3 linked regions of the Arabidopsis thaliana genome follow. The protein of the gene in region 3 interacts with the protein of the main gene of each other region in a pairwise test. Each region holds a gene or a part of one and is shown on either strand. Other genes may lie near its edges.

What was found.
Region 1: the proteins of ESR1 (region 3) and PYL12 interact in binary tests that used the Arabidopsis thaliana proteins (3 or more experiments, as listed by UniProt).
Region 2: the proteins of ESR1 (region 3) and BIM1 interact in binary tests that used the Arabidopsis thaliana proteins (3 or more experiments, as listed by UniProt).

Annotation. Positions count from the first base shown.
Region 1 is NC_003076.8:18,603,914-18,610,422, reverse strand, and holds PYL12 (PYR1-like 12), read left to right. Parts: upstream 1-3,311; 5' UTR 3,312-3,379; coding exon 3,380-3,859; 3' UTR 3,860-4,025; downstream 4,026-6,509. Other genes in the region: AT5G45880 (Pollen Ole e 1 allergen and extensin family protein), read left to right, coding at 143-489; SCRL27 (SCR-like 27), read left to right, coding at 1,512-1,578, 1,752-1,966; PYL11 (PYR1-like 11), read left to right, coding at 5,837-6,322.
Region 2 is NC_003076.8:2,604,310-2,614,294, reverse strand, and holds BIM1 (basic helix-loop-helix (bHLH) DNA-binding superfamily protein), read left to right. Parts: upstream 1-4,044; 5' UTR 4,045-4,200; exon of another isoform or gene 4,201-4,380; 5' UTR 4,381-4,723; coding exon 4,724-4,760; intron 4,761-4,891; coding exon 4,892-4,993; intron 4,994-5,409; coding exon 5,410-5,811; intron 5,812-5,912; coding exon 5,913-6,015; intron 6,016-6,099; coding exon 6,100-6,236; intron 6,237-6,321; coding exon 6,322-6,436; intron 6,437-6,533; coding exon 6,534-6,603; intron 6,604-6,700; coding exon 6,701-6,796; intron 6,797-6,907; coding exon 6,908-7,245; intron 7,246-7,346; coding exon 7,347-7,458; intron 7,459-7,550; coding exon 7,551-7,640; 3' UTR 7,641-8,277; downstream 8,278-9,985. UniProt on the Arabidopsis thaliana protein: Positive brassinosteroid-signaling protein. Transcription factor that bind specifically to the DNA sequence 5'-CANNTG-3'(E box). Can bind individually to the promoter as a homodimer or synergistically as a heterodimer with BZR2/BES1.
Region 3 is NC_003070.9:4,425,785-4,432,962, forward strand, and holds ESR1 (Integrase-type DNA-binding superfamily protein), read left to right. Parts: upstream 1-3,933; 5' UTR 3,934-4,006; coding exon 4,007-4,993; 3' UTR 4,994-5,181; downstream 5,182-7,178. UniProt on the Arabidopsis thaliana protein: Regulates gene expression patterns in meristems and thus modulates organ development. Required for correct embryo patterning and cotyledon organogenesis. Modulates auxin signaling pathway in early embryos.

The sequences.
Region 1 (6,509 bases), on a different chromosome or scaffold from region 3:
TTGATCCGTGATCTTGATCCACATGATAAATTTTCCATCCACACAAAAAAAAAATTCCATCCACTCAAGCAAACTAATTATAGTTGAACTAATTTCTATTTATTTTATCTTATTTTTTACATTTTTAATTGTGTTTGTGCAGGCGCGAAAGTGAAGTTGGAGTGCAGGAGCAGAACAAACGGAACCATAACATTGACCAAAGAAGCTGTTACCGACAAAACAGGAAGCTACAAAATGGAAGTAACCGGTGACCACGAGGAAGAAGTTTGCGAGCTTGTTTTGGTCCAATCACCAGACAGTGGTTGCAGTGATGTCAGCACAGAGGCTTACTTACGTAACGCCGCTAAGATCAGTTTAACGGCGAATGACGGAATCGTCTCCCACGAGACACGTATTGTTAACCCTCTCGGTTTCATGGTTCAGACTCCATTGGCTGATTGTCCTGCTGCTTTCAAGGAGCTTGGTATTGTCCCTGACGTAACATTCTAAGCGAAAAGAAAAAAAAGAAAAAAACATATAACATGAGAGATTTTCTATTTGCTTAACTTTATCAAGTTTATAACCATATAATGAATTAATATCATCATTAATTACCTTTTCACGTTTTGGTTTTGTTTGATTTGATGTGTGAGTGATATTTTGTTGTTCTATAGTAAAAAGAATGTAATTTGGTTACACACGATCGAGGAACTTATATATTACTATTAGTTTATTACAAAATAAAAAATAAATCAATGAGTAGAAGTTTACTGTTGAATATTGGATTTAGATCGAAAACCAAATTTAGAAGGGAAAGAGATCTGCTCGGACTCCCAAGTCCTCTAATTTTTTATATATATCTCTTGATAATTCATGCATGTGCTCATATATATGTATATAACACATTACACAACTTAACAAGGGATATAATATTTTTGGATATTCTTGTCACTTAACCTCTAAAATCATTCTCATTGATCATAAAAATATAGGGTATTTAAATATAAAGATGAATTAATGTTATAATTAAAAAGAATTTAAAGAATTAAGACCCATCCCTCCATGTATATTCTTTTAACATTTTTAATATTAAAATATTAAATACTTTAGTTTCAAGACACTCAAAAAAGTGGTTCACCAATGAGGATGCTCTAAAGCCTCTGAATGTTTATCAAACTTCCAAATGTAACATTGCTGTCTTTTCCTCGTTTCTTGGCTATCATATTGGTAATTTTTGAAGTTTTGTTAAATTTAAGTTAGGTGTAAAATAAATTTATGAAAATGTTGCATCCATTATGTCCTGTAATCAGAACGCAGACAAGCTCCTCCATCCAATTATTTTTCCTTTTAAGATTAAACAGCTAATTTTGTAGATCTGGTTGACTTGATCTTCTTACATGTCCCTTTTCTTTTCCCCTAATTTAGTTTAAATAACTATTTTTGGTGTGGGCAGTTTCCGTTAAAGAGAAGTAACACACTTGTTACAAGAGAGAGGTAACAAAGACAGTAGCTTTTACCATTTTTGTTAAATCATGAAGTCTACTACCTTGTTCATGGTTTCTTGTGTTCTCATATTTTGTGTTCTTAGTCACGTGAGAGGTACGTAATGTACACTATTGTTCTTTCGATTTAGATTAGTATCCTCGGTTTAAAAGACAAAAAAAAACTTACTGCATTATCAATTTTTATATATTAAATAATCATTTTATTTACAATTTTGACATTATTTTTGTTGTGTGTATGTATGATTGATAAAAATAAAAAACGAATAGAGGTGAAATCGGTGGAGACTAAGGCCAAGAGAGTGAAGAAGGTGTGCGAAAAGGCACAAGTATTCGAACAAAATTGTGGGTGGGACGGAAACAAAACTTGCATAAGAGGCTTTAATAAAATCAAAGAATACCCTTTTCATTGCGAGTGTGGCATTTATGATGCACCCAATAGCAGACGTATTTGCAAATGTAAATTTCCATATTCTCCTTGCTAAATTTTCATGTAGTTTTTTTTTAAATGTTAAAAAAAATTTCATGTAGTTCCAGAACCATAGTTTATCTATCTAGAAATTAATAAATTAAATGTTATTTAAGGTTTAACTAACCAGTAAGATGAACCCTTTTACTTCCTTCCATGTTATTGTGAAACATGTCTGAAGGAGTTAATCTCCAACGCCATGAATTAATCATTCCCGGTTACTCCATTTCTAAAACTCTTTATAAATATGTATTGATATAAGCCAAATTATATGTCGTACGATCTTGTAGTCTTTATCATACATTTCAGAAAAAATATAACTATAGATTAAAACCTAGCTAGCCGGAATAGTTTTTAATCTATAACATTCGATTTAATTTAACTATTCAAACTTCCTCTTCTTTCTTTACATTATCTCTCATAAGAACTCAATAGTAGATTGCAATTAAAAGTCTTGCTGAAACCAACTTAATTTCTTATATTGACTAAACTCGTAAATGTCTCCTTGATTAATTTTTCGATAATTTTTTTTTTCTTTTGACTAAAGAAACAAAATCGTCAGAGATTTTAGAATGTGAGATTGTGATTGTGATTTTGGCTCTTTTTGCTAGTCTATATCCGTGAATTTAAATTTGGAGATGGAAAAAGAAAAGTTATATTAACAGAAATCACATTTTGGTTTAATTTTTATATCGGTTTTGGTTCGATTATCGGCTACCCTGAAGGTTAAAAACTAATGTAAAAGAGTGATGCTAGTTTGGGCTTAAAATGGATCTATAAATTTTAGGCTCATCTGGCCTCTTTCTGAGCTTGCCATTTTGGATTAAGTCTAAGTTCTAATCTCTAACTTCTCATCTCTGTTCTTATTTGTTTCCTTTCCTTTTTGTCTACTTTCTTTTCTTTTAACATCTGTCAACTATTTGGTTCTTATAATACACTATAAATGTGTGATTAATAAGTGTGATTCGTGTAAACCAACGTGGAACCATTATTTGCCACTATTTTTAACACAGTCCATGTCATATAACCCGCCAACCACAACCGCAAATTGTTCCTTACAGTATTTTGTATACAATTTGCTATGCTACACTGTTTGATACTTACTCAGGCCGTTAAAGTATTTTGGTATTTATGTGCATGTATAAAATATCACAATGGACTTAAACTAAATATTTTATTCCAAAGTTAAATGTCATATAGAATATATAAATAAATTTTCGTTGTTACTTGTTATGCGTTCAGAATTTCATAATTTTAGTATTTCTTTCAGTCGGCCTTGTTCTAAAGATATTTCTCATCTTTTTGTCGACCTATAGATTTTTCTCATATATAAATACTAAAAAAAACTTGCCACTACGTAAAATATTTGAAGACAACAACCACAACTGTCGGTAGGAAAACAAAATTGTGAAACACCAAACAAACACGTATGAAAACATCTCAAGAACAGCATGTATGCGGTTCGACAGTAGTACAAACTATCAATGCTCCGTTACCTCTAGTATGGTCGATCCTACGTCGATTTGATAACCCAAAAACATTTAAACATTTCGTAAAAACTTGTAAACTACGCTCCGGCGATGGAGGAGAAGGCTCTGTCCGTGAAGTCACGGTGGTTTCCGATCTTCCGGCGAGTTTTAGCCTAGAAAGATTAGATGAACTTGACGATGAGTCTCATGTGATGGTGATCAGCATTATTGGTGGTGATCATCGTTTGGTTAATTACCAGTCGAAAACTACGGTGTTTGTGGCGGCGGAGGAGGAGAAGACAGTGGTTGTGGAGAGTTATGTGGTGGATGTGCCGGAAGGAAATACTGAGGAAGAAACTACGTTGTTTGCTGATACTATCGTTGGGTGTAATCTTAGGTCATTGGCTAAGTTATCGGAGAAGATGATGGAGCTCACTTAAAGTTGTAAAAGTCGTGGGATTGTAATAATAGTATTAGTTTTTAGAATTTAAAAGTAAAACTCTTACATTTTTACGAGGTTTTGGATATATAGCAACTAGCAAAATATGCTTATTCAACTGGGAATAATATAGGTATAATTATGTATTTATATGTCTTGTGAAATTAAAAATAATTGTTTAAGTTTCTTTCTTAAATGTCATTATTCTGTTTGCCCAAAAGTATATACAATTTTAGTTTGAGTCCATTTCTAAACTCTCCTTTGTAAATGTATTGATATAAGCCAAATTTTGAAATCATTCAAGTTAAAAAGTTAAAATCATTTTTTTTTCTTTTGATTAAAACTCTTGTTGTTGTAACAGGAATTGACTTGTGAGTACTAACGTGTCCAGCGAAATAGCTTTCTAAAGCAGACTCTGATCGTTCAGTGTCTTATACCTTCTCAGTTGAAACTTGATGCCAAAGAGCGTCTTTTAGCATGTGCAAGTGAAGAAATTAAACATAGTTCGCTTATAAAATAAAAAGTATATTTTATGATTCATTTTTTTCTTGCACAAAAAAAAAATACAAAAAGTTGAAATACAATGGTAATTAATGTAATTAACCCTTCGTCTCCAACAGCTTCTTTTTAAAGAGGAAAAATAGTTTAAATTCTGTTATATTTGGCTGTAGCTCAATTGTTCAACTTCTACTTATTTTTACACTTTTTCTCACAAGAAACTAATTACATACTAGTAGAATGAAGAGCCATTTCAAACTATTTTTACTTGAAGGTAATATTTAAAAAACATTTTGCTAATATGTTGGTAAACAATTAAAAAAAAAAATAACCTCACTTATACATATTTACTTAAGATTTTCTTAAACAAAATTAGGATTGTTCGATTATCCTACTTACATATGCTAAAATACGGCCTTGAATCTTGATAGATTGCATGCAAAAGTCTTACCGAAATTATTTTCATCTCTAATCATATTGATCGACTGAACTCGTAAACGTTTTATTCTGTTTAACTTTATTTTATTGTGTGTCTATTTTTATTTTTGATCAGATTAAAATATAAGAGTTTGAAAATGTGAGATTGCGATTACGATCGAAGGTTCAATTATTTGGTCCTTTTCAAATTGTTAACAAAAGAAAAAGGGACCCTATAAAAGTTAAACAGAAATACAATTTGGTTAAGCTTATCGGTTTCCGGTTCAATTATCTTTACCTTCTGAAGGAGTAAGTGATGCTATTTTGGGCTTCAAATGGATCTTTAATCTGTAGGCTCATTGGGCCTGTTCTCAACTTGGCGTTTAAAGATATGTCCTTCCCTCTCTCATCTGTTCTTGTTTGTTTTTTTTTTGTTTGTTTTTTTTCATTTAGTCAAGTTTTTATCAACAAAAACAATGTCTATAAATGTGTGGTAAATAAGTGTGGTTCGTATGAACGAAATCGAAAACGTGGATCTATTACATGCCACTAGTTTTTCCACAATCCATGTCATAACCCTCCAAATTTAACCGAAATACATTCTTCATTACAATGACGTTACAAAACAAATGTGCATTCTAAAGTTTACAATTTATTTAAATATATTTTACGGACAAATATGTAGCCATATGCCTATATATTGTCACCATATGCTACACATCCTACACTGATTAATCAGTCTTTCTTTTAAAGCATTTTTTTGGTTTTATGTGCATATTACAATGTATTCTTTTAAAATATATATACACTTTAAACTTCTTTTTATCATCTTATGTTATACAAATCAACAAAGTTTTTCTTACTTGATATTACATTCATATTTTGCAGAAAACACCAAAAAATGACAACTCATATTTTTTTTTAGTCGGCATTGTTCTTAGATATTTCTCGTATAAATACTCGAACACTAATGCATGGAAGCTTCAAAAAGGTTTGAAGATACTGTCACACAAAACAACGGTCGATAAAAGGACAATTTCGTCAAAAAAACAGCAATACACAAATGGAAACTTCTCAAAAATATCATACGTGCGGTTCCACACTAGTACAAACTATAGATGCTCCACTATCTCTAGTTTGGTCAATTCTACGTCGGTTTGATAACCCTCAAGCCTACAAACAATTCGTGAAAACGTGCAATCTAAGCTCCGGCGATGGAGGAGAAGGCTCCGTCCGTGAAGTGACGGTGGTTTCCGGTCTTCCAGCGGAGTTCAGCCGAGAGAGATTAGATGAACTTGACGATGAGTCTCATGTGATGATGATTAGCATTATAGGTGGTGATCATCGTTTGGTTAATTACCGGTCGAAAACGATGGCGTTTGTGGCGGCGGATACGGAGGAGAAGACGGTGGTGGTGGAGAGTTATGTGGTGGATGTGCCGGAAGGAAATAGTGAGGAGGAAACGACGTCTTTTGCTGATACAATCGTTGGGTTTAATCTTAAGTCATTGGCTAAGCTCTCGGAGAGGGTGGCTCATCTAAAGTTGTAATTTTTAGATTATAGTTTTAGTTTTTAAGAATTATAATCAGGTTCAACTAGCAATAGTCATGGTCGATGGGAAATAAGTAAGTATATGTATAATATTAAATATAAGGAGTATTTGTTAGTAACTTAATTATTAGTAAGTTAGTTAGTATCTTACGTTTGTTCTTTTATTTCATTTTAAAAAAAAGTTT
Region 2 (9,985 bases), on a different chromosome or scaffold from region 3:
ATATGTCGAGTGAGTTATAAACTACGGAAAAAAAAATTGTTACACAGTCTATAAAATATTTAGTATCTTTTTTTTTTAAAGGGTAACGGCTTAATTAACTAGCAGTCTATTTTCTTACGAAATAATCCATGTCAATTGTTGTGAGCAAATTTGATTATTTAGATATCAACGCCTCCTATGTATCAAGTGGATATCAAATATAGGAAGAACTCTAGTGGCTTGTGGTTTTCATGCATTAGTGTGTCATCTGAAATCATATTGTCACGTAACCATCTAACGCTTGGACTCGGTGAACAGAACAAACATTAAATTCGTGACAAAATGATTCTCACGCATTTTGTATATCATCTTTCGGAAACATTAATATTGTTTTTAGCCGAATTTAGCAACATATATGCATGTTTTTACGGTGTGAACTAAGTTAAAGGTCTATTAACCAAAAAAGCATATATGATATCATCAAAAGTTTACAACAAATATCACATAATGGTAAACCTCACCTCAAAACTCAATAAAATGGAGCTCTAACTCAAAAAGTAAAAACCAATAAATTCATTATTACCTCATGTGAAAATTAGAGTCGTGGATCCTATATTCCTATAAACATAAGACTATAGATCTAATTAAACGGTGAACATATATAACATTATATTGTGGTTCCTCTTAACCAAGCTAGTTCAAAATATATATCATCTTCAACTCATGTCATCGGAAGATGCTATATCCAAACCCTAATCAATAATCATCTTTGATTTTTGCCATATCTCACGCAAGTTATATTAGTTAATTATCCCAATAATCTTGCAAAGATTCGTGTTCCGATCAAAGAAACAAAAAGATTACACCAGAAACCAGCATCATGAACACTTTTTTTTTTTTTGTATATTTATCATAGATCATAGATGGTACATAAAAACTGCAACATTCAGAAATTATTTTTTATTTTATTTTTGTTTTGTTTTGTTTGTCATCATAACTCATTTCCAGTACAAGAATTAAATTAGTTGCACGTTGAAAAAAAGAGTTAAAAAACAATATATAGATCAGTGATCTGGTTCAGTGCATTTAATGGTTAGAATTTCTCTTTTTTCATATCAAAATTATACGGTCCGTTATTTTCAAAGTACATAGTTTTTGTTCTTGTTTTCCCCTTTGCTAACAAAGCATTTTAACAGCTTTTGTTTTAAGATAGCTTTTATATCTATAATTAGCAAATTAATTTATATTTTGAATAAAAAATAGTGAAAACGGGATAGCGTAAAAAAGAAACGTGGGACCCGCAATAATCGAGAGGTGTGAGTTGGCCACGTGATGGATGGGGGAGGCTGTGAGGTAGGCAGCCAAAAATACCCCAAAAGGTTTCGTTATCACGTGATACGGCGCGATTTACGCGGCGCAACTGCCACGTGTCCTCTTAGATCCAAAGTCTCGTACGTAGCCTTCTCCTTGGTTAAAAACTTCATATTTAATTTCAATGTATCATAATTAGTTGTTTAATCTCGTGTTTTAACCCTAAGTCACATGATATCTAGATAGATAAACTATTTGTTAACTGATCCCTAAGAGGATTCCTGTGCAAATGTACAGAGGAATGTCCGCATTACAAATACATTTGTTTTTCTTCAAGTCCAGCTTCTTATTCTTCTTTTCTAATTGCTTTATGATTATTTAATCTGTTACTATACTATTAAGAAAATAACAATGATTAGAGACAACTAATAGTCCTCTTTATAAGGAAAAAAGAAGTAAAGAAGACAGCTAATTCAGATGAGATGCTCTCCCACACACTCTTTTGTGTATGCATAAAGTTTCTGTAATTAATGTTTTATTTAAAAACACTTTAACAACAAAATAAATAAATTAAGGGTTTATATTTTTTTAATTAAACTTCTGAAAAGAGAATGTTTGATAAACTGTAATTCTGTAAGAAATCAACGTAGAGAGCATTGATATCTAACATTAAAACCAAAAAAAAAAAAATGTCATTGATATATAGTTATATACTTATATGCAAAGAGATGTTTAATATTGTTCACCCTTAAAATATTATCAAATCTTGATATTAAAACAGTTGTTAGCGTGTGCATGAACCTGGTGAGTAGTTGTGATGAGATCTCGCATTGATTTACTTCAAATTGGATTAAATATGTAAAAATATGTTTAAGAAATCTTGTGACTCCGCGAATGATTTTCTCCTATACATTATTCTAATTAATTCCATGGATATGTTTTATAATATGCGTAGGAAATTAAAGAAAATATGTTTTGTATTATATAAGTTATTTTGATCTTAATCTTTTGAAGTTGAAACCTACTTGATATGCTTCTTCTTATTTTGTTAACTAACTCAAGTTGAATGATTATTTATTGATTGAATTACGTAAGACGGGAAGAACATGATGTGCCCAACCGAACCACGAATGGTTAAGGATAGGTCGGTTTGTGGCATATCAATAAACAGTTTATGAGACTGAATGGAAACCTTCTTTCTTCGATCGACTAAAACCCTTAGCCTTCCAAGTTTCTAGTCAAGAAGTATTGTTACTAAATTGCCCTTGATGTTAATGTTTTCGAAAATCTATTTATGTTTCTACAGTGTTTCTCTCACGTGAGTTGCAGAGTCAGTTCACGTGGTCCCACTACATCATGAAAACGACGTCACACTAACCTCTTATTCGCCTTTCACTTGAATTGACCATTTCGTTTTTATTTACTTTCCTTGATTTCTTTCTTTCTTCTCATCTAAACGTGTAAAAATCTTAACAATTCCATTTGCTTTTTTGTTTTTGATTTTAATGTATCTAACCAATTACTTGTGCTCTAGAGAAACCGAATCTCGAATAACAATAATACATTTCATCAAAGAACCACGAGATTGCGAGTGATTTTAAATCAATATAATACAATTCATGGGGTTAATATAAAATACAGAGAATAAAGCGTGTTTAAGCACAACCTAACAACTCACGAGACAAAGTGGAAGGCATGTGGGGATGTGTAATTGTTTTTGCTCTTTCCCTATTTTGTACAATTTTTCACTTCATGTGATCCAACACTATTTAGCTATAGTTCCTTTCTCACTATCATCTCCATCTCTGTTTTCAATTTATTATTTCTATCTTCAGATTAAACTCATGACTACTGGAAAGATGTAGTACTCAGAAACTAACTAGATTGTAAGCATTAGGGGAGGGCAATAAATATTACTCGTAAGTAAATTTAATTCTTAACTACTGAAAATCTTAAGTAATTTAATCAAGTATATACGTACTTGCAAAAACTTGAAAGCCATAACTATTTTCGCTTGAATACAAATGGACTAAAGATATTTTATCATTTTATTTTTGGTTTTAAGAGATGACTTTTTTCGAATATATAATTCAAATTATATACAGTACTAGACATATGTTAGTTTAGTAAATGCTAACAAGACTTTTAAAATAAGTACTGTAATTTGTAAGTCGTCTATTTGGTTTACTTATAAGTTAGTGATTTTGTAACAAGTGGCATTCAACTAAATATAAAAATGCGCTTAGCTCACATGATCAGGTTCTTAACTATGGGTTTTAGACAATTTGTTAAAGGCGGAAGAGCTGTCTTTGTTCCACCTAATGTCACATACATTACATATATCTCCACTCACACAAATACATAGACGCATACACGTACGAACAAAATCATACTTGTCCCCCTATATTCCATCATCTATAGCAGAATTTCTACTACTAAATTTACTATTAAATTGGTAATTGTTTGCAGCCAAGCCTAGCTATCAATTAGTAGTACGTATCTTTGTCAAACTTACCAATTACCTTCCAATTTACCAATTAAACAAGTCGTCTAGTTATGCGCATTCAGTACACACGAACATAGACCACGTAATACAGTGGTCTGATTACATTATTTACATGGAGGTTTTTATAAGCATGATTTTCTAAACGGAGACACAAAATCTTCTTTATTTTATTTTTCCTTTTCGCACTGTTCATTTAGGTTTGGTGGTATTAGGCTATAGAAGAATGTACGATGACTTGAATATCAGATACATGAGATTCTTAATTAATCATACATATCTTACCATTTTAATTAGTTAACTGATTTCCTTTTGATTGCATTTACTTCGACGCATGATAGTAGTCGGCGTAATTTCAACAGTACCTTGACACGCCAAAAGCTTCACGTAATTTGCTGTCGAAGAAGGTACGCTTCTTAGCTCAAATCTAATCCATTCGTGTTCTTTAGAGATTTGACTTGGATTCTAGTTTTTGTATCTCCATGTTCATTGGTTGACTTGAATTATGCGAAATTGAGTTGGTTTGAGCTATGAATTCCGCTGAATTATGGTTATTCTCTTGAATTTCTACCCAATTCTGATGACAGATCTATCGATTCCACGAATTTGGTGACTTCTGCCGATTCTCCCGTTTGAATTCTGTGGAATTCGCTGAGAAAAGTTGCGGCGGAGGCTGATTTAGGTTAAATCGAGCAGAATTTGACCAAATTCGAGGATTTTTATCGGTAAAAAGATACAGAGAAAGCATAATTCAGCAACTTCAGAGCTCAATTCCGCTTCTTCAACCATCGAAAACCACAATATCTCTTGAATCAGCTGCTACAAGTCGCAGATCTGAGCTGCTAGCCAATTTTTGCGATAATTCCCGCGCACAGATTAGTAATAGAATAATTTAAAAAGAATTCAAAAACCGTCGAAGCTCTGTCGTTCATGGAGCTTCCTCAACCTCGTCCCTTCAAAACCCAAGGTAAACACCATTATCAGATATTATTGTTACCAATTCCTTTATTTTATTTTAAAACAGAGTGTTTAGTTTCTACAAGATTCATAATTTTAAATTTATGTATTTTTTTGAATTTTGATATATATATTAAGAAGAATTTCGCACAGGGAGAAAACCAACACATGATTTTTTATCGCTCTGCAGTCATTCAACCGTCCACCCAGATCCAAAGCCAACACCACCACCTTCTTCTCAAGGTATTTTTTTTTACCATTTTACCCTTTTTTCTTCTTTAAGATTCTCTTAAAAGGGGTCACGTTTTTTTCGCGCGTGCATCTGATCTGACTTTAAGACGAATCATGGATCAAAATGTTGCTATTTTGTTGGGTCCTAATGGGCCCATCTGTGTTTAAAGCCCATGGAATTTTGGGACCGTTTTTTTCTTTCTTTTTCGTCTACACATGTCGTTAAACCTTGCCTTCGATTAAATAAATATCTTTCAACCCTCATGATGTTGATCCCTAGAATTGCATCACATAAATAACAAAATGTTGTTAATTACTATAAGCGTTTAAATGCATACAACTTGATGTATAAGAAAATGTGTATTATCTAGGGATTTACTTCTCTAACATATAGTTTATGTTTTTAATTTTGATGGTACGTGAAGCAGGTAGTCACTTGAAAACCCATGATTTTCTTCAACCGTTAGAATGTGTTGGTGCTAAAGAAGACGTAAGTAGGATTAACTCTACCACTACAGCGTCCGAGAAGCCACCGCCCCCTGCTCCACCTCCACCGTTGCAGCACGTGCTTCCCGGTGGTATAGGGACTTATACGATTAGCCCCATTCCTTACTTCCATCATCATCATCAGAGAATTCCTAAGCCGGAGTTGTCACCACCAATGATGTTCAATGCTAATGAGAGAAACGTTTTGGATGAGAATTCTAACTCTAATTGCAGCTCGTACGCCGCTGCATCAAGCGGGTTCACTCTGTGGGATGAATCTGCTTCTGGGAAGAAGGGACAGACAAGGAAGGAGAATAGTGTTGGGGAGAGAGTAAACATGAGAGGTAACAAGAAAACTTGAATCGTGATGTTTATTTAGACTAGTTTTAAAGTAGTATTTAGAAATCAATGGAATGATGAAATATAAGTTTTTTTGAATGTGTAGCTGATGTTGCAGCAACTGTGGGACAATGGCCAGTGGCGGAGAGACGGTCCCAGTCTTTGACAAACAACCATATGAGCGGTTTCAGTTCTCTCTCTTCCTCTCAGTTAGTCTCATATCTTCTCTTTTTTATATAACTCGGTCTATGGACTTTAAAGAGTGATCAACTAAAGTTTTACTTTGGTTGCAGAGGGTCTGTGCTTAAGAGCCAGAGCTTCATGGACATGATAAGGTCAGCAAAAGGAAGTTCACAGGAAGATGATTTAGATGATGAAGAAGATTTTATCATGAAGAAAGAAAGCTCCTCGACTAGCCAGAGCCATAGAGGTTTGTATTGTCCGAGATTCCACCTATATGATATCTAAAGTCTAAACAGTAACAGCTTAGGATCTGATTGATTGCTTCTTTACAGTGGATTTGAGGGTAAAAGCAGATGTGAGAGGCTCTCCTAACGATCAAAAGCTGAACACACCTAGGTCTAAACATTCTGCTACAGAGCAACGGAGAAGGAGCAAGATCAATGATAGGTAAGTCCTGAATATGTAGCAAAAGCCACCAGAATTGGTTATATAGCTTAGCAGAGTGGAGATACTAATCAAACATTGTTAATGGATCCCTCTGCAGATTTCAGATGTTGAGACAACTAATACCTAACAGCGACCAAAAGCGGGATAAGGCCTCCTTCTTACTAGAGGTATAACTATACTCTTTTGGCCGAAAATTTTGTGACAGTAAGATTCAATCACATCTGCTCCTAATCTCCAATTTTTTTTTTTGACAACTTCATACAGGTTATCGAGTATATTCAATTCTTACAAGAGAAAGCAGACAAGTATGTGACCTCTTACCAAGGATGGAATCACGAACCTGCGAAGCTATTGAATTGGGTAAATATAATCTCACATTTTCCGACCATACTTCATTTTTATTCCCCGGGTTGGAAACTGAAAACAAACAAACCATGTAATGTTAACCCGTGTGATCCATTTACATTATAGCAGAGTAACAACAACCAACAGCTAGTACCTGAAGGAGTTGCTTTTGCTCCAAAATTGGAAGAAGAGAAAAACAACATTCCGGTTTCGGTCCTTGCAACTGCACAAGGTGTTGTTATTGATCATCCAACAACCGCGACGACCTCTCCATTTCCATTGTCGATTCAAAGCAACAGTTTTTTCTCTCCTGTGATTGCGGGTAATCCCGTACCCCAGTTCCACGCAAGAGTCGCATCATCAGAGGCTGTAGAGCCAAGTCCGAGTTCCCGGAGTCAAAAAGAAGAAGAAGATGAGGAAGTTCTTGAGGGTAACATCAGAATTTCAAGTGTTTACTCACAAGGGTAAAACTAAAAAACTCTCTTTTGAATTTTGATCTTGCAACAGTTAAGTAAAAGTAAAAAATTATTAACCTTTTATACATTTACTTTTGTGTGTGGAGCAGATTAGTGAAAACACTGAGAGAAGCATTGGAGAATTCAGGAGTGGACTTAACGAAAGCAAGCATCTCCGTTGAAATCGAGCTCGCTAAACAATCCTCGTCTTCTTCCTTCAAGGTATCTTTTTCTTTACTTACGTTTGATTCAATTCAAACACATTTTCATGAGTTGGATCTTGATAGTTTATAGTTTTGTTCACATCTCGATAGGATCATGAAGTTCGTGAACCGGTTTCTCGAACCAGAAACGACAATGTCAAGCAAACTCGGAAACCAAAACGGCTCAAGACGGGACAGTAGAAGTTATAAAAACAAAACCCAAACACACAATCCGGTAAAAGTTAAACACCAAAATTGATTCCTCTGTTTTTTTCTTTAAATCATTTTATCTCAAAAAGGGATTATAATTTATTATTATAGTTATATCTTTGATTTTTTTCTTTTGTACATCCGAAATCCTGTTATATATATCTCGTGGGTCCATAATCGTATGAGACCTAAGAAGACTAGGGCGACCCGGTTATGCTAACCGCATTTTAGAACATACTCTTTTGAGGAATATATCGTTAAGGAAGGCTTTCAAAGTTTTCTGGAAGCGTCCAGTGTTAAGTGAAAACATTTTTCACTCTCTTATATACTTGATCATCTCACACTTTTTATATTTGTTTCTTCCTCTTACTTTGTTCTATGGTTTTCAATGTAATACTAGATATCTTTTATGTATTTGACTAAACCAAAGCGCATGAACGATTTTGAAAAAGAAAAAGAGAAACACACTTAATTATAATGCCAATCAAAAGCCTGTATGACCCAACTCTCTAGGACAAAGTCTGGAGCACGGCAAAAAGATTAAATCAAGTGTACTTTAGCAACAAGAGCTATCTTGTACTATTATTTATGCAATGTTGTTAGCAAAATAATCAAATGTTATGTGGGGTATTATAAGATATGCCATTGAAAAATATATCAACTAGCATTTAATTACTTTTATTTAAAATGATGAAAATCATATCTTCTATATATTCAACTTCAATACTTGATTTTCCAAACTATTGAAGTAAACGAGATCCCATATATAATGGGATAAAACAACAAACATCAATTACGTTCTTTTAACCATAATTTATATCCATAAACAACAAACCGCCTGTATTTCCTCGGACACGAAGAGGATTTGACACGGGAAGCTTCGTCTTCTCCCTCCTCGTCGTCGCCTCCAAAACTCAGGAGTTTCTTCTTCAGAGACGCGGTGGTAGCATCTTTTACCGTGGAGTTTCGTCGCCGTCGTTGTCTTTATCAATTATGATCTTTCTCGAACTAGAGCTTTTACAGTTAGGGTTTGAAACTTTGACTGGAATTAGAGCAAACTTTGGTCGTGATTGTAGTATTTTTTTAGTTTGGAATGTTGTTTATTATACTAGATATTAATCTGCAGTATACCGCGGACCTATATTTTTATTAAATAAAAAATAATTGAATAATTTTTAGGATGATTTAATAAATTTATGTTATTGTTTGATTTAAATGTATAATTCACCGCGAGACGAAATTTTATAACTCAAATTTTAAAGTTTTAAATTATATTTGTTTATTTTGTTAAATGTTTAATATTGTATAATTGTATATTGATTGTTGTTTCTCAGATTTCACCCGTAGTACACCATCCCATATTAATATCGAATCAAACCCGTCAATTCTAGGATTTCACCCGTGGTAGTATTTAATTGTATAATTATATTTTAATTGTCATCGTAGGATTTCACTCCTAATTCTATCGCAAATTATTATCAACCCAAACCAGTCAATTCTAAAATATCACCCGTAGTACACCATCCCATATTAATATCGAATCAAACCCGTCAATTCTAGGATTTCACCCGTGGTAGTATTTAATTGTATAATTATATTTTAATTGTCATTATCAGATTTCACTCCTAATTCTATCGTAAATTATTATCAACCCAAACCAATCAATTCTAAAATATCACCCGTAGTACACCATCCCATATTAATATCGATTCAAACTCGTCAATTATAGGATTTCACTCGTGGTAGTATTTAATTGTATAATTATATTTTGATTGTCATTCTAGGATTTAACTCCTAGTTCTATTGTAAATTCTTATCAACCCAAACAGTCAATTATAAAATTTCACCCGTAGTATAAAGTTTAAATATTTATAATGTTTAAATTTCTTATAAAAGAATCAAAATGTGTTTTAAAAAAATTAAAGTTTTAAGTTTTTTTTTTTTAATATTGTTAATTTTGTTTAGTGTTTAAGATTATATAATTATATTATGATTGTTATTATATGTTTTTTTCCATAGCATACTATCCCATGTTATTATCCACTCAAACCCGTCACACCATATAACCTCGTCCCGTGAAATTAAACACAAATTTGTCATTTTATTATAAATTTCAAATATTTATAAAATTAGAAACTTCAAAAAAGATTAATATTGACCCAAACTTCATCATTGAATTTTGAGTGTTATATCTAAGATTTCTCTCGCAGTATATCGTCCCGTATTAATATTTTTTATATTGTTTAAATTTCTTGTAATATTTAATTTATAATTTTTTAAACTTTTTAAAGTTTCAATTTTTTAAAATAAATAACCCTAGTAAACAAACCATTTTA
Region 3 (7,178 bases):
TTATTAATGAGCCTCTTATGTGCCTTACTGCCTTAGCCTTACGTAAGGTTTTTTTAGCTGATTTATGAATATTTTACAAAGAAAAAGATGTAACATGAGAGGAAAGGCCTTTGTGAAAAACTTTTTTCCATCAACTTTATGTGTATAGCCCAATCAAATTTCGGGTAATTATATAACTACAAGGAAAAAAATGAAAAAAGTCACAAAATAACTAATAAAATATCTTATCTGTATACATTTTGACAAAATAGTGTAACTAAGTCATTGAATGTTCTCATTACACCAAATCCATATCCATCCATGTTGTTAAACCATGGTGGTTTTGGTCTTTACAAGTTTGTCAAATTGAACTTTAATTTTTTCCAACCAAACAAATTTGAATACATATATAACATTTAAAAAATTATAGAGCATATAAGTTTAAGAAAATAATTAAATTTATTCCAACGACACTTGTGGGACAAAAGCTGTTGAAGAACATCTAGTTACAGAAAAAAGGAATGATGGATCTTGGGACTAGGGTTTCTACATTAATGCACCAATAATATATAATAATATTAAGAGTAATAGTAATAAAAGAGTAGTCATTTATTATCTGCCAGTTTCTTGTTTGCTAATGGTTTAATGGGCGTACAATGTATATGCATACATATGAATCTGACCCTAAGGTATTAGAGGTAGAGAGATTAGGAGACAATTTGATCAGAGCCAAAAAGTACTACTGATCTTACTCTAGTTTGGCAGATCATTTTGCTCCTCTTCTCTTTCTATTATTTTTCCTAATCTGAATTATTGTACACTTTTAATAGATGTTTCTTTTATTATTATTGTTAGTTAGTACTTCAAAAAAATGAAATAGTTACAGCAGATCATTTTTTTGTTTGTTTTACTGATCATATTCATACGTAATTTGGTGTTGAAAAGTAAGCTTATAATTTGGTGTTGAAAAGTTAGCTTATCATAAGAACAATAATCAATGTGTTAATTAGTTATATAGATTAGGACCCAACTCTAGTGTAATTACTCTTCAAACAGTAAGTTTGGTCTATCTTCTCAATAGTCTAAACAAGACGTGAGCTTATATTATAATAAAGAGCATTACACCAGATTTTCCAATAATCCAGAAGTTTCAGTTTCAATCCGAAATCTAGATAATTTATTCAAGAGTGTGGATGCATTTAATGTTATTTGGCCCAAATTTCTCAGTATATTTGAGAGAAGTAAAAATATTTATATTAAGCAATGAATTATAAGTTCTTAAAATATAAAGATAGTCAAATCACAAAGTAATATTATGTAACGCATGGGTGCTCAGGGTCCACATCATAGGGGGCAAAATGATGAGAATGATCTTTTCTTATGTCCCAAAAGGTCATTCACTTTCAACGGGATTTGTTTTTTTAACCTATTTTGTATCACACTTTTATCTCGAAAGATTTTATTTTATTTTTTACTACTTGACGGTTTTTTTTCCTGTTTTTATTAAAGCAAGAAGGTTGATTGATTGAACTCAGAATTTGGAGTTAGAATTCTTTTTGATGTTGATGAAAGATCATTATTAAAGAAATACATTTTATAATTTAGTCCTTTTTAGCAGAATTTGAGTTAGAATTCTTTTTGATGTTGATGAAGGATTATTGTTCTTGGAAGAATGAATAATTCGAAGAAGTGAAATCCGTTTTTCAAGGGATAAAATTGATTGATTGAGTTTTGGAGTCTTGGTATTTGACACTCTCTTTCTTTTGTCGTTACAATATCTTCTTTTTCTCGACCCACCATTTACTCTGTCTTTCAAAATCTATCAAATCATACTTTTGATTAGTTACTATACTATAGTCATTTATACCAACATAGTTCATACAAAAAAGCAACACTTAACAAGAAAGAAAAAATATAAGGGGATTAAAAATAGAGTGGTGAAGCAACGACTCCAACTCTCCCATTGATTAGAATACATCCTTTTCCATCTTTACGGATTTATAAAGATTTTGGTTATTTATAGATACAAATTAACAGTATAAAAACAGTTATCATTTTTTCTTTAGAAAATAAATAATTTTTTATAATATGGTCCATGTTTTCATTAAAAATTATTTGATAAAAATATGGTTATATTACAGTTTTACTAATATATTTCTATCTACATATAAAATTTAGATAAAATTTGATTTCTTTGCTGAGTTTGTTTGGTTGAACTAAAGTCATGTTAAGTTTGATTCGTTTGGTTGTGAGATATGTAGATTGAGTACGGTTTGACTATAAATAATTGGTTCATTTCTTGCTTTCACTTAATTGATTAGGTTGGATATATAATTCACATGTCCAACCCTAATCGAAACCGAAGTATTTCAAGTTGATATTATGATAGATACACTAAAATTATCTCAGAACACGAGCTATCGTAATAATTTACTTTGTGACATCGGAAATCACAAAGACATTTGCATAGGACTGAGCTGGAAACCAAAAGTCTTTAGTTCCCAAAATTATGAAGAATTTCTCAAATTTTTAATAGAAAATAGATAAGTTCACCAATGAACTCTTTTGTTGTTTTTACCATATAGTAATAACTATACTTAACAATTATTATAGTATATATTAACTCAACCTACCCCCCCAGACAAAATCTTATATCAACCATGGATACTGTTAGTTTGGTAATAAAAGATCTTGCCTATGGTTTCACATAGAGTTGTAACATTTCAACATTAGACAAAATGTTATCAGTTTAAGTTCATATTATGACTATGCACATTTTAAATTAAAACATTTTAGTTTGCTTGTAAAATTACAGAATTAACGCAGGGGTTTTAATTGCTGCTTATTGTCTCATTCAGTCATTTGCCGACCAACCAACATAAATCTCAATATAATGAGTTCATGACGTCATGGTCATGGTAGATGGTTTTATAATAATACCTAAAAAATCTCAAATGATGGTAGTAATTAAACACATATGACGCAAACGCAGCCATTACAACGCTATTTCAAAACTTATTTAAACAATTAGTAATACTTACCAAAGCTTTTGAAAGATACTCCAGTAAACTTGTCAAATTCTTATATTGTTCTAATAGACTTTATAATAAAACGTAAGCATCGGGCGATATGGCATGATTATTTCATGACAGAAGAAATAAATAATTTTAACAAAAAAAAAGACAGAAGCAATAAATAAAAAACAAGCTTCTGATACATGAAATACATATATGTCTCATACATACGTTTAGACAAACCTGAAATGTCCTCTTCGTACAATAATATCCACAAGTGTCAGATTTACACTGAAGTGTTGCTATGCATATCTTTTGTTCCATACTTTTCTTACAAAATCATTTATTTTCTTCTCGATATCACCGATTGGTGTATGTTGTAATCATACATTAACATTAACAAACAAAGATACTTTTTCAAGGATTATTCTAATTGGCAGTTTTAGAAATAATGGAATTATCCTTTACTAATCATACAGAAATAATGTAAATATGTTTAGCATGTGTGAAATGACTGTTGGTCGATTTTTAACTTTAATAAATAAAAAAGCAATAAGAACGTGGTTTTATTTCGCCACTCCCACTTGCATCGTCATCATCAAAGAAAAACACTAATGTCTAGACCAAAGATTTAAAACATCTACCCCATATATATATGATGAACAAGATAGCAAGTAAATTTAAATGTAAAATTAAATTTTAGTTTGCTAAGATTAATATACAAAAGAAGTATTATCAATTTATCAGTTATTAATCAAATCAAGTTTTAAGTGCAACTCAAAAGTTTCCATGCTTATATAGTTATTTGTATACTACTATACTGTATGTGCAAGAAAAGCATTTATACTCTTCGCCATATATTTCAAACTTCACAAAATTTAATTAAATTTTTATACCATTTATGTACCTATAAATAGATAGAAGAAGCTCCATCTCTTTCAAACTATCAACCACCAAAATCTTTCACATTACACCTTCCTTTTGTCCTCAAACCAAAACCCTAGAAACCAAAAATGGAAAAAGCCTTGAGAAACTTCACCGAATCTACCCACTCACCAGACCCTAATCCTCTCACAAAATTCTTCACTGAACCTACAGCCTCACCTGTTAGCCGCAACCGCAAACTGTCTTCAAAAGATACCACTGTAACCATCGCCGGAGCTGGCAGCAGCACGACGAGGTACCGCGGCGTACGCCGGAGGCCGTGGGGACGATACGCGGCGGAGATACGTGACCCAATGTCGAAGGAGAGACGTTGGCTCGGAACATTTGACACGGCGGAACAAGCCGCTTGTGCTTACGACTCTGCGGCTCGTGCCTTTCGTGGAGCAAAGGCTCGTACTAATTTTACTTATCCGACAGCTGTCATTATGCCTGAACCAAGGTTTTCTTTTTCCAACAAGAAATCTTCGCCGTCTGCTCGTTGTCCTCTTCCTTCTCTACCGTTAGATTCCTCTACCCAAAACTTTTACGGTGCACCGGCAGCGCAGAGGATCTATAATACACAGTCTATCTTCTTACGCGACGCCTCGTGTTCCTCTCGTAAAACGACTCCGTATAATAACTCTTTCAACGGCTCATCATCTTCTTACTCAGCATCGAAAACGGCATGCGTTTCTTATTCCGAAAACGAAAACAACGAGTCGTTTTTCCCGGAAGAATCTTCTGATACTGGTCTATTACAAGAGGTCGTTCAAGAGTTCTTGAAGAAAAATCGCGGCGTTCCTCCTTCTCCACCAACACCACCGCCGGTGACTAGCCATCATGACAACTCTGGTTATTTCTCTAATCTCACTATATACTCTGAAAATATGGTTCAAGAGACTAAGGAGACTTTGTCGTCGAAACTAGATCGCTACGGGAATTTTCAAGCTAATGACGACGGCGTAAGAGCCGTCGCAGACGGTGGTTTATCGTTGGGATCAAACGAGTGGGGGTATCAAGAAATGTTGATGTACGGAACTCAGTTAGGCTGTACTTGCCGAAGATCGTGGGGATAGCTAGATATTCATCATGATTATGTTTTGAGTTTTGGTACTATCGACTTAGTTTAAAGTTGCTACCTTTCCCAATGTTGGATATTAACTAAATTATGTTTTAAGTTGAATTTGCTAATAGGATTTCATAATTATAATCAAGTTTATAATATATTTTCGTAGCTAATTAAAGTTTATATCCACGTATTCTGACACATTACGCGCTTAATGATTTAAGTTGTATCATAATTTATAATCACATGGTGGAACTTGTTAAGAAGTTACGTAACTCTTAAACAGCTTTAAGCCTCTAACATAGTCGTAATAGCAAGAAATAATATATATGATGAGAGATGAGTAAAATAGGAAAATTCCTTTGTTCAGCAATGTTGGTATCGACCTATTAAAAGTGAATCTGCAGATGAAAAAGTGATATCCTTACATTTATTTGTTTGTAGTCTGAAAAGTGGACTAACGTTCGTACAAAAGGCAGTGTTTGTCTCTGTCTTCTCCAACTTTTCGTGCTCTCTTCATTCTATCACCAAAGGAAAAGCTGAACTACTAAATAACAAAGGTCAAGAACTTTAATATTGATTGATGTCAAAAAAATTAGTAATAAGTACTGATTTTTTCACATGTTGATTAATAAGTACTGAATTTGCAGAAATAAACTAAAATATATGCTTTGACCAAAAAAAAAAAACTAAAATATATGCTTTTTCAAAAAAACTAAAACTAAAATATATGCAGAATGAGTTTAATTCATTGCGAATATATGATGAAATACAAAAAAAAAATTGCGTTTTTTTTTGTATCAACTGTACCCACTACTCATGTTCGCAATTCCGTATGTTTCGTGGTTATTGCGTTGATGTAACATGTATATCCGTCGATGAAATTAGTAGTATACGAAAATTGAAAACCACAAAAATGGTACCAAAGAAAATGAACACGTACGCACACACTAATCATATGTTTGTAATTTAATCTACTGTCTCATATAAGTAGACAACTTAGATATTCCTGTTGGATGCTAACTTTAGAAATCTCAACGAATTAAAGTGAAATCATAATAGGGGATACATTATTAACAGGGTGAATGTCAAATTGTTTCAAGATGAAGGCTCAAGGCTAGGGGTTTAGGGGTATTTGTAGTCTTGTAGAAACATAAAGTTAATATTCATTAGGCAATTGTCAAAACCATATTGTTCCTTTTCTATTTTTTGATATATATACCTTGTAAAAATATTCCACATCAAAAATCCGATTCGCTCAAAAAAAACTCTGATCGTATGATTCTAGTTAAATAAATAAATGGATGAAAGCATCTATTGCATTGTCAATTTCAACACAGCGAAAGCACGGAACTTCAATTGTTGAACTCTATTCGAACTCCAAGCTTAGTAATAGCAAAATTTCTCTCCATACAGTAGTAGACATGGGCGCAAAAAGTTAGGCCCAGTTTTTAATCAGGCCCATTATGAGATTTACATCTGAGAAGTGGAAAGTTTGTATTCTTGGTTTATGTACTTCACTTGAATTGCTCTTTTCCACAACTCCACACATTATTATCTACGTCTGCTAATTGCTGTGACATAACTTTATTATCATCTATGATCCTGAATATTTAGTGGTTGATTACTACAGAGTATTGTTGTTAAACTCGATGTATGAAAGTGCAGTGCATTTCTTAACAAAATTTAAGTTTACCTTGTATTTCTTCTCTTCTTTAATCTTCCCAAAATATACTTTTGTGAATGGTGATTTAAAAGCTTTTGAGACCACTCAAATGATAAAGTGGGGCTTGTGACGTTTCAGACATTGAAAACCTCATAATATATTAGTGGGAGACCTTAAAAAATCAAGTCAACGCCGACTAATCCAACACAGCGTCACACGTTAACGTATGCAATACAACATTAGGATATTTTTATCACGCATCGTTGTTTACTTTATGTTATGTAAAAAATGTTAGAAATCAAATCGAATTACAAAACGTGTAGTTTATCTTTTCTCAAAAAGCCTCCAAGTCGTCGTTTTCATGTACACACACATACTCCACTCGTTCTCATAATTCCGATCAAAATATTATCATCATTCATCCATACGTATAACCCAATAATTTATTCTTATTGAAATTGAAAAATCAAATTTTCCTTACCGGGTGATATCTTACATTTAACTATTTAAGCAATCATAAACAGAGAAA